Kluyveromyces lactis: one gene and its partner. The protein of the gene in region 1 interacts with the protein of each later gene in a pairwise test. Links are inferred from orthologs where the notes say so. Each region holds a gene or a part of one and is shown on either strand. Other genes may lie near its edges.

Region 1 (6,535 bases):
AATGAGCTCAATAACATATGTTTTTTGAACTTGCTTCGACGAACAAGGATTCAGAAGAGACTGGAAAGTAAAATTGGAAACATGGATTTGATATCATTAAAAGGTTCGACACGAATTGTTACTGAGTTCTTTGAATATAGTATAAATTCAATATTATATCAACGAGCAGTATACCCGGCAGAAGACTTCGCTACAGTTAAGAAGTATGATTTGAGCTTATTAAAAACACAAGATACAGAACTTAAACAATACATACGGGAAATTCTCCGGCAGGTTCATAGGTGGTTATTGGGAGGTAAATGTCACCAGCTTGTTCTGTGTATAGTAGATAAGGATGATGGTGAAACAATTGAAAGATGGAAGTTTAACGTAGATTCTCACAGCAACAAGAACGATACTGATGATGATATGAACATTCCATTAGAGGAAACCCAAAAGGAGATTCGGGCAGTACTTAGACAGATAACAGCCAGTGTCACTTTCTTGCCCGAATTGAAAAATGAAGGTAACTATACTTTCAATGTTTTGGCCTATACTGATAGTAATGCGAATGTTCCACTAGAATGGACAGATTCTGATTCAAAAGAAATAGCGAAGGGGGAATCTGTGCAATTCAAGTCTTTCGGTACATCGGCCTATTCAGTGGGAGCTGAAGTCACTTATAAGTTCTAACAAAATTAATGGCTGAACTTATTGCATTTCCTTTTAATACTTATGCTACAAATAGGAACAAGATATAGTAGAAAAGGCACATAATACTTAATTCAACTCGAGAAAGCTCATACTAATTCAATCATCTTGGTGTCTTTTCCAAACTTCTATCCAAATCTTGAGATGTTCAATTAGCTTTTGTCTTAAGAGTCCTTCGCATTCTTCCTGCATAAATGGGAAAAGGTTGGACAATAAGCACGTTTTGAACAACTTTAATTTTGACACGGCTGCCATATCAACCCTCAACTCTTCTTTAACTCTAAGAAGAGCAGTAAAATCGAGTTTAATGTTGTCTGACTCTGCTGCTATTTGGATTATATCCTGAATTATTGCTATTTCATTTGCTAGATTTACGGTGTATCCATTATCCAATTTGACTGAGAGATATGTCAGCCTATCATAAAGCGGTTCGGCCACAAACTCAGGTATATCAAGTTCTTTTACTATTTGAAACTCTTTGCGCTCTTCAGCTAATTCATCAAAAATATCGTAAACTTGTTTTGGGTCAAACGTATCATTCAAATCGGTTCTGATCAATTCCACAGGAAACATCAGAGCAAAATGTGATTCACCAACAACATCTATAAACATATCAATTTCCTTAAACTCAGCATCTGTAAGCGTGCTTTCAGCTATAGTGAAAAAAATCATTATGTAGAAGAATGGAATCATTGCATGAGGATACCAGGTCTGATTTCAAAATAAAGTCGATAGCCGAACCAACTTGTGCGGCACATTTTGTCATATAATCAGATATATTGTAAGTGCTCAGGTTAACTGATATATCTTAATATTCATAAGTAAATAATATCTTCGAGTTTTCTGTGTCATTTTGACTTGACGCATTGACATGCCTCGAAAATGTTAAAAAAAGCCTATTTAAACTGATAAATCTGCTACAGAGGTAAAGGTAGTATTACAAGTAGTGTTGCTGTTTCGTTGGTCAAACTGCGTGTGGAAGCTTCTCTACAGAAGCAGTTAGCCCTTCTTGAAAAAAAAACTGGAGTTTGACATAAGGTTTTTTATCTCATTCAATTTATGTCCAGGAATCTTAGGGGATGGAGACCCAGTGGGTGGACTAGGGGAGGACTGTATAGCTACGGATAAATCAGGACGTGGAACAGGTTTAATCTTGAGGTCTTCCTCCAAAAATGTTTTCCATGATGGATCTGATACCCTCGATAGATTGTAAATAAAGTTTTGTAGTTCTCTAGGGTTGAAAATAAGGTCATCTGGTTTCATCGGTTGAGTATCATCATCTGATTGTTGAAATTCTGACCATACTCTTTTCCAAAGTGCCAAATCCCAAGGTACACCTTTTAGCGCTAGTATAAATGCCCAGAAATTTGAGTTTGTATTCTGACTTGCGGTTATTGCATAATAGGTTTCCAAGTATGTTGTATCAGGGTCAATAGGAGAGACAAGTAACTTTAAAAGATGCATTAGTTTTTCCACATTACTATCTATGTGTTTCGTGACTCTTTTAGCTGATGTGTCATGTTGCGGTAAACTTTCCGGAAGTGAATGCAACGTTGTCTTCAATAGTTGAACGTCTAACAATAATTGTTCTGCGATATTTATCACTTGCTTCACATCGAACTGTCTTTTCGAATTAAGAGTGCCATATGGTAAAGCTGGTTTCAAGAGCTTTATAATTTGAGATTCAAAAGAGATAGCTATTAAATCAATAGTTTTATCAATAAAATTCCAACCATAAAGATCTCTATTGAATTGAGAAACAGTGGAGTAAAATGTTGAATTTTCCGATCTTGTTGGTAGGAGGATACTCTGTAAGGTAGTCACATATCTGCTGTAATCTTCCACCATTGTATTAGCCCAATTTGTGTTTGTGAACTCCCTCCATACAAATTCCAAATCTTTCTTCAGGATGCGATTTAGTAGTAAATTGATACCACCCGATACGAGATCCATGTATTTTTGCCTTGTAGGTTCAAAAATGGCTGCAACTTTGTTGATATTTGGCTCATCATTCTCAAGATATTCACAGAGTTTATCTTGCAATTGATCAATTGTATTTGCGCAATAGTCTGCTGTATTGACAAGAAGAACGGTATATTTCACTACTTCATTCTTATCATCGATTTGTGTATCCTCAGGTAACAACAATGGTTTCAAAATCTTTTCATAATATTCATTCAACCATTTGACGAAGAAAACCGCCAATTCCACCATTATGGTCGATTTATTACCGCCTTCTATCAAGCTGAAAGTTTGAGAAAGAATGTGTCTATAAGTTCTAAACAAGTCTGCACTGGATGGAACGACAAGCGATTCATTTTTAGCTGGGAGCTTGGTCTCATTAAGATATGTCAACATCTTGGCGTTCAAAGATGAATCTTGGTGTCTAACCCATAATTTCAAATATGGCTCAAAGCAAGTGGATATTTTACCCTCGTATATATGGGAAAACTTCACTGATATGTATTTTTCAAACTCTAAGGTAGTTTGTAACGATTGCATGAATAGGTCAATGGAGGTGGTACCGGACAAATCTCTCTTCAATAATGTTTTCAAATCGTTAGACGTCATTGTGAAGAAAGAATCCGTTAGTTTCAAAGGTATCTCCCATTCTGATGGGAAATATTCGCTGAAAGTAGACTGGAAATTATTTAATACTTTTTTGAAGAAGATGTAACGTCTAGACAAATTCTCCAAAGAACCAGCTTCATCATCAATTTGGAAGATTTCTTTAATTTCATACAATAGAGAATCCAAACACAATTGCACAATCCTTTCTTTATAATGCTTATTAGTGTCCGCAAGGCAACATATACCGTCTTTCATCGTTTTGCTGTCATATTTACTGTTAGACCCATCCCTAAGCACTTCTTTCGTTACTCTCTCACACACCAATAGTGTATCACTCTCTAAACGATGAATTTGATTTAGAAACTTACAAAACTCATCCAAAGATTTATATTCGTGGAAAGATACAGATAAGGAATGCATAACTTTAAAGGGGCCGCACATTTCAATGTATTTTTCAGCTTGCATGTACTTTTTAGAGTTCACGTATGCATCACTCAAGATCTTCAAATTTTCAAAGCACGTCATCGATCTCGTTATATTCCTCTTAGCGTTATCCAAATCTGAAATATCATGTGTCAAGTCGGATATGGTTGCTTCAGTAATCTGTGACAGAGACTTCGTTGAATTTATCTTCTCAAACAACTTGTGGAAATCATAATTGTCTTCTAAACTATTGACTTCTGAACTGGTGTTATTGCTTTCTCGTACCCGCTCCTCTAAATTAAATTTACATTTTTCGGTTAATAGCACTAGGTTATCAATATCTGATAAAGATTCCTGCTTCGAGAATATCTGTTGAAGATCGTGTAAGGGATCGTATTCCAAAGATTCTGAAATCATTACTTGTTAAGTTCTAGTTATTCAATTCAAATTAATGTGCGTGATACTAATACAGGAAACAATAATGGGGAGGAGCTGGATAGAGAAGGGAGAATTATACCTCTGCAACTTACAATTGCTGGCTCTTTTTGTCATTTACTGATGATACAACAAAGGTTCTTGTTATATTTGTTTCTGTATGCAATAATTACTATGAAAGTCTGATATCAGAAATATCGAAAAAAAATACAAAGTCTTTAAAAGGTGAATTGACAGTTCCAAACCCTTTAACTATGAAAAAAATAATGCTCCAGGGGAGGTTCGAACTCTCGACCTTCAGATTATGAGACTGACGCTCTTCCGACTGAGCTACTGAAGCAATTCCTTTGAGTAGCTTCATTGACACTGTACATATACCAGAACGATGTAATCTTCGCACTGCATAATATATTATTGCTCAACGAGTTACAGTGTGTAGCCAACGATGCTGCTCTTACAAACATATGTTTTGCATATGGCAGAACAACAGAGTAAGTGCCTTCCTGAGCTATATATTGAAATGGTTTGATTTGCCAGGATCAGCGAAGTTTTAAGATACATAACTCTATTCTGCTATGATTATTCCTAGGATGTTGACGTGGATGCATCCATCACCCAGCTACATACCTATTCTTTAGAGTAAGATGATAGTACTTTCAGATCTCCAGAAACACACATGTACACATGCCTTATTCAGACACTTTGTCCCTAGTAACTATTGGCTAAAGCATTCCCATATTTTCTGCATATCTCTCAATACTGAAAAAAAAAAATGCTAAAGTATCTTTTAACAACATAGTTGAAATATAGAAAACAGTGCGTGAACAAAGGTGGCGAAGACGAAACTTGTACGTGGAAAAGCTATACCTTGGAAGGAAAGCAGATAATTCACAAATCCTTGAAAAGCAGCATGTCTTTGAAACTTCCTCAAAATCCTAATGCGGGATTGTTCAAGCAAGGGTACAATTCGTACTCTAATGCTGATGGTCAAATCAATAAATCGATCGCTGCCATTAGAGAGATTCACCAGATGTGTTTAACTTCTATGGGGCCATGCGGCAGAAACAAGATCATCATTAATCATTTGGGAAAGCACATTGTGACCAACGATGCTGCTACCATGCTAAGGGAATTAGAGATTGTCCATCCTGCTGTTAAAGTGTTGGTGATGGCATCTGAACAACAAAAAATTGATATGGGTGATGGTACTAACCTTGTTATGGTGTTGGCTGGTGAGCTTTTGAATGTTAGTGAAAAGCTTATTGCGCTAGGTCTTTCACCTGTAGAAATTATTCAAGGTTACACAATGGCAAAGAATTTTACTTTGGCAGAACTTGACAAGATGTCTGTGTTGGATATCAAGAACAAACATGAAAAAAGTGAGTTAATCAAGGTCATCAAGCCAGTCATTGCATCCAAGCAATATGGTTCTGAAGATATTTTAAGTTCCTTAGTATCAGACGCTGTGGCACATGTCTTGCTACCAAATTCCAACTATTTCAATGTCGACTCAATTAGAGTGGTAAAGATTATGGGTGGTTCCCTTACCAACTCATCTGTTATCAAGGGTTTAGTCTTCAACCGCGAACCAGAAGGACATTTGAAGTCCTTGCCTCAAGGTGAAAAGCATAAGGTTGCTGTGTTTACATGTCCAATTGATATCTCAAACACCGAAACCAAGGGTACTGTGCTTTTACATAATGCTCAGGAGATGTTAGATTTCACTAAAGGTGAAGAACAACAACTGGACCAAATGATGAAAGAAATTGCCGAGACTGGTGTTAGATGTGTTGTTGCTGGTGCCGGTGTTGGTGAGCTTGCTTTACATTATTTGAACAGATACAATATTCTCGTCCTAAAGGTGCCAAGTAAATTCGAACTTAGAAGAATTTGCCGTGTGTGTGGTGCTACACCAATGCCAAGGCTAGGTGCCCCAACTCCAGAAGAAATTGGTATTGTTGAGACCGTAAAGACGAAAGAAATTGGTGGTGATAGAGTTACCATTTTCAAACAAGAGGAGAACGAAAACACTAGGACTGCCACAATCATCTTAAGAGGTGCTACGCAAAATAACTTGGACGATATCGAACGTGCCATTGATGACGGTGTCAATGCAATTAAGGGTTTAATGAAACAGGATGGTGGAAAACTTGTTCCAGGTGCCGGTGCTACTGAAATAGAGTTGGTATCAAGAATCAGCAACTATGGTGAAAAGACGCCAGGTCTAATGCAACTTGCCATCAAACAGTTTGCCGTTGCATTCGAAGTGGTACCAAGAACGTTGGCAGAAACTGCAGGTCTAAACGTTAATGAAGTACTACCAAACTTATATGCTGCCCACTCTCAAAAAACTGCGTCAAACGAAATCAACGATGGTTTGTACCAAGGTATTGATATAGACAACAATACCCCGGAA
Region 2 (4,430 bases), on another chromosome or scaffold:
CATGAATGAAATCATCCAGAATCAACATTTTCAAAAAAGCCTCGATAAATGGATCGCTGACTTTTCTACAAAGGTCGACTCTCTTTAAACCATCTTTACTCGATAAAAATTTCTCCATTGGGAATCCGTGAATATACTCTTCAAAAAGTACATAACGAGAAGATAAATCCATAGCGCCGACTGGGAACTTTACTCTTGGATTGTCAGCAAAATTATCATTGAACTTCTGCAAGTTCTGACATTCTATACGTAGGTCAAGTTGCAACTTCATCAATATGGAAAACTGCTCCACTTCATTTGGTAAGGACAACCATTCCATGGTGGGTACAGAGTCGATCATATCGGCGAAGAAAGTCATTATTTTTAAATCACGGTCTATCTTTTTCGGTACGTTTGGATGAACCACTTTCACTGCAAAATACCTACTATCCGTTTTAATATCAAAGTTCTTCATCATTAATTCAGTTAACTTTCCTATGTAGACCTGGGCGATGGCACCACATCCAACAGGTTTTTCGTTAAATTCATCAAATATATCATCGAACTCATATTTCCTATCTAAGGAATTAACAATGGCTTCTTTTGTAAATTTCAACGCATGAGGTTTAGCATTGCTGTGTAGGCGCCCCAACTCTGCGCATAAACCCTCGGAGAAAATATCAGTACGGGATCCTGCCCATTGACCTAATTTTATGAATGTAGGACCAGCGAATTCTAAAGCCTTTCTTAGAAGTTTAAACCACAAAAGGGAACCTGATGTCTCCTTCACAACTCTATTCGAATCAACCTTTAGCGTTTTATGATGTCCAAGGCATGTAATTGGATATATTATTAACAACGGAATGAATATGGATGAAAGTTCTAGAAATCGAAGCAATGTTAAAACCGGTTCTATAATAACATCATTGATGCGATACAAAATCCTCTTAAAAAAACTGGGCATAACACTAGTAGTTATAATTCTTTCACGCTCTTTTTCGGCTTCTTCCTGTAATTGCTTCTGTGAAGAAATGTATAAGCCCATCTCGAAAGTATCCCCTTTTTTATCGGGTATTAGCGCCGTTGAATTGTTCAATAACGGTCCTCTAAACCATTGCATCGAAAGTGGGACTATAGGCGACAGAAGAAACGGTGTAATTCTTAAACCTTTGAGGAAAAACACCCTGGAGTTCACTCTAGAGCGGAACGCATTAAAGTAAAACCTCATTGGACTAAGTTTTACACCCACCTATGAACTGGACAGTCTCAAAATTAAAGATAATCTGAAAATGACAAATCGGAGTTTATACTGAAAAGACCAATTGACAAAACCTCAAACCTAAGTGTACCAATTCATATACTTATAACATGAATGATAAACAGGCCTGAGTTATTTGCCTCCCTTGACCTTTTTATAAGTTGTCATCGTTTTAATAACACACACTTTTTTTTCAATTCACGATCTTTATAACGGTTACTTTTTTTTTTGCTATATGCCTGTAGTTATTACTATAGCAAATAATAATCAAAAAGAGGTACCGCTTTTGGTATTTGTTTCCAGTATATGATATTCGTCGAGGGGGTAATGTACACCTGTAATATATAACAAAGAGATTTACCTTTTTACGTTGAGCGAAGTAATACATCATATACTGAATGATATGGTGGTAGTTGGCAAGACCATGTTCCATTTAAAGGATTCGTGGTTGCATGGTATAATGACTGCTTAATTATGCGAATTATGAATATGCTATATATATAATGAAACTAGGGCACGATGGAATGGTTTGAATAGGAGAAAACATTATATCACGCATACGCAAACGTAAACGAAATAGTGGAGGATTTTGGAGATGAAATAAAAATGCATGGGAAAATTGAATGTCTATTGAAATAAGCGTGTAAAGGAATTCAATAGGACATTACGCCAGCATCGGCAGGAAGTAAACAATTCGAATTTTAACTTTGTTATTAGCTTTGTCATTTATTTTTATTACTATCTTAGGTCATGTCAAATTAAAAAAGCATTTCAGTTGTAGATAAATATAATGGGACCGGAAGCACTAAAAAACATGCAGTTTTCAATTCCTTCTACAATTACATTTGTTCTTCCTTAATCACGTCAATTAACCAATCCAAACCTTCAGTTATCCCTTCGCCCTTAATGGCACTGGATGCAACAATACTCCAGCTTCTATCCTTCAATTCTGCCAAGTTCAACTCCTTTGATACTTCTGACGCACTTAATGCGCCTGGTTGATCTTGTTTATTGGCAAATACGAGCAGAGCGGAGTCCTGCAATTCTTCTTCTTGCAACATGAGGTGCAATTCCTTCGAAGCTATATTCATACGGTCCTTATCTGTAGAGTCAACAACGAAGATAACTGCTGCTGTGTTTGCGTAATAACAACGCCAGTATGGTCTAATCGAAGTTTGTCCACCTAGATCCCACACGTTAAGTTTCAAGTTTTTATAATTTAACGTCTCTACATTGAAACCAATGGTAGGTTTTGTAGTTATCACTTCTCCTATCTGTAGTCTGTACAATATCGTCGTCTTACCAGCACCATCAAGCCCTAATATCAATATACGTAATTCTTTTTCCGCACCCAATAGTCTATCAAACATAGAACTAAAGAAGTTACCCATTGTGATATTTTATAAGTAATTGCTGTACTGCGGTCAATTCAAAGGTAGTTGGTAATTAAAGAAAAGGTGTATTAATAAGTCAATTAATAATTTAAAACCAAAACTTTTGTACTAGTTGATATGTAAAATTAGGAAGTACTTGTTCAAAATATTTCTTATTTGAGAACCAGTTACAGCCAAAATTCGAAACAAATAAACGAATAAACAGCGATCCAGACAGCGGTAAGTTTGTCTCCTGATGTGTAAACAATTTTATTGTATTCGTACTATAAGATCAGATAATGTCTTTGTAATGAGTGAAATATTAAATACAATGAAATCATAACTCCTAACCAATGCAGTGTGTTATTAATCACTCGATCCTGAGATTTTCCTTTCACTAAAATTGTAGTTGGCCTTTTAGTGGCCGGGTAACAACAAACAAAGAGACCCCATTAGACATAGTAAAAATTACTTGCGTATATAGTCTGTATCGTTCACATTGTCCTCGCTGTATTTTTTTGTTCAATCTCAATTTTTTATATATGCGAGTTTGTAACTGCAGAGAGCTCACATGAGGCATACCGGTACTGATTAATGCTCTGAATTTTCTTTCTTCTTCTATCTGTATAAACATATTCTACAATATATGAAGAATTTGTAGATCAAAAATGATAATCAGAGAAAAATAATAATAGAATATATTAATCTGATTTGTAAAAATACAAAACAGTAAGACTGCATACCTTTGCATGCAAAGCTAAGGGTAACGTGATTATTATTGGATATCTTAACTACTATATTGCCAACTAAGTGTGGTAATATATCATTATTGGAAAGGCTTTTCCATTGCCTATAATTGTTATTCTTCACTACTTTTTTTTCTTTCAAATAGCAGGCCACATCCACATAAGATGCATCCGTTGTACAGGAAACTCCTTAGGGAATGGAAACGTTTGAGCCATTATAAGCACTCTACATGCCATATCAAGCCACAAGAATCAAATTTGCAGTTCTGGAATATAGTACTACATGACGAAAGCCGAGATTTGGAACTTTACTGTGTTGTTTTCATAAGCCACAAGCCTATGAACGAATGGGAGCCTATCATACTATTAAACTGTTTGACACCTAATCCCTGCATACCTGTGAATAAGACTATCTGCTTGAATCATCTCTCTCCTGTTCTTCTGAACTATGGGTTGTGCTCCTTTTATGAGCATTTGTTATCATCAATTTATAGTCGCTGTACTAATATCACCGATTATCATAAAAAATTGGCCATGGCTTGGAACAGAATTATGGTAAAGGAGTTCAAGAATTTCTCCCCGCGACTATTCGAGTCTTACTCGGTGACTCAAACAGACGTTCAGATGGTAAACGAATATTTGCAAACGCAGGCTCAGTCACAACCTAATCATACAAAAAGAAACTCCCCGAAATTGCATAGTAAAAGCCCAACCCCGGTAGATACCCATAACCACATAACAAACGAAGACTGTTCGGAACAGTTATACAGGGGAAAGAGGCAAAGAACCGGGTTGAGCTCTTTTATGAGTGTGAGTCCACTCACAGAACCGAATCTCAACAACTTGGAAACCTCTGAAGATTGTGACTTTTTAGAAAGTAGAAAACGCAGGCGATAAAATAAAACTTTCTCTGAAACTATTAAGTTAGTCACCTTTCCATCCAATGAAGCTATTTTCATCATCCTTCTAATTTAATGCATGGCGTCTATATAGTTTATGGCACATTATGTGAGGATTTATCTTCCGATCGTATCGAAGTTTTAGCAATAAATTTCTCTCACAGTACTTATGTAT

What was found.
Region 2: the proteins of VPS53 (region 1) and ARL1 interact in binary tests that used the Saccharomyces cerevisiae proteins (3 or more experiments, as listed by UniProt). The link is inferred for Kluyveromyces lactis from reciprocal best matches to the Saccharomyces cerevisiae genes VPS53 and ARL1.

What each region holds. Positions count from the first base shown.
Region 1 is NC_006040.1:792,591-799,125, reverse strand, and holds VPS53 (Vps53p), read right to left. Parts: upstream 4,102-6,535; coding exon 1,690-4,101; downstream 1-1,689. Other genes in the region: spindle checkpoint protein MAD2, read left to right, coding at 82-672; KLLA0_D09416g (uncharacterized protein), read right to left, coding at 790-1,383; chaperonin-containing T-complex subunit CCT8, read left to right, coding at 5,030-6,535. UniProt on the Saccharomyces cerevisiae protein: Involved in retrograde transport from early and late endosomes to late Golgi by linking the vesicle through the t-SNARE TGL1 to the Golgi, leading to the membrane fusion between late Golgi and endosomal vesicles.
Region 2 is NC_006041.1:2,192,752-2,197,181, reverse strand, and holds ARL1 (Arf family GTPase ARL1), read right to left. Parts: upstream 2,629-4,430; coding exon 2,077-2,628; downstream 1-2,076. Other genes in the region: KLLA0_E24795g (ABC1 kinase family protein), read right to left, coding at 1-1,207; UBS1 (Ubs1p), read left to right, coding at 3,522-4,253. UniProt on the Saccharomyces cerevisiae protein: Recruits golgins such as IMH1 to the Golgi. Can bind and hydrolyze GTP. May be involved in trafficking events within the endosomal system.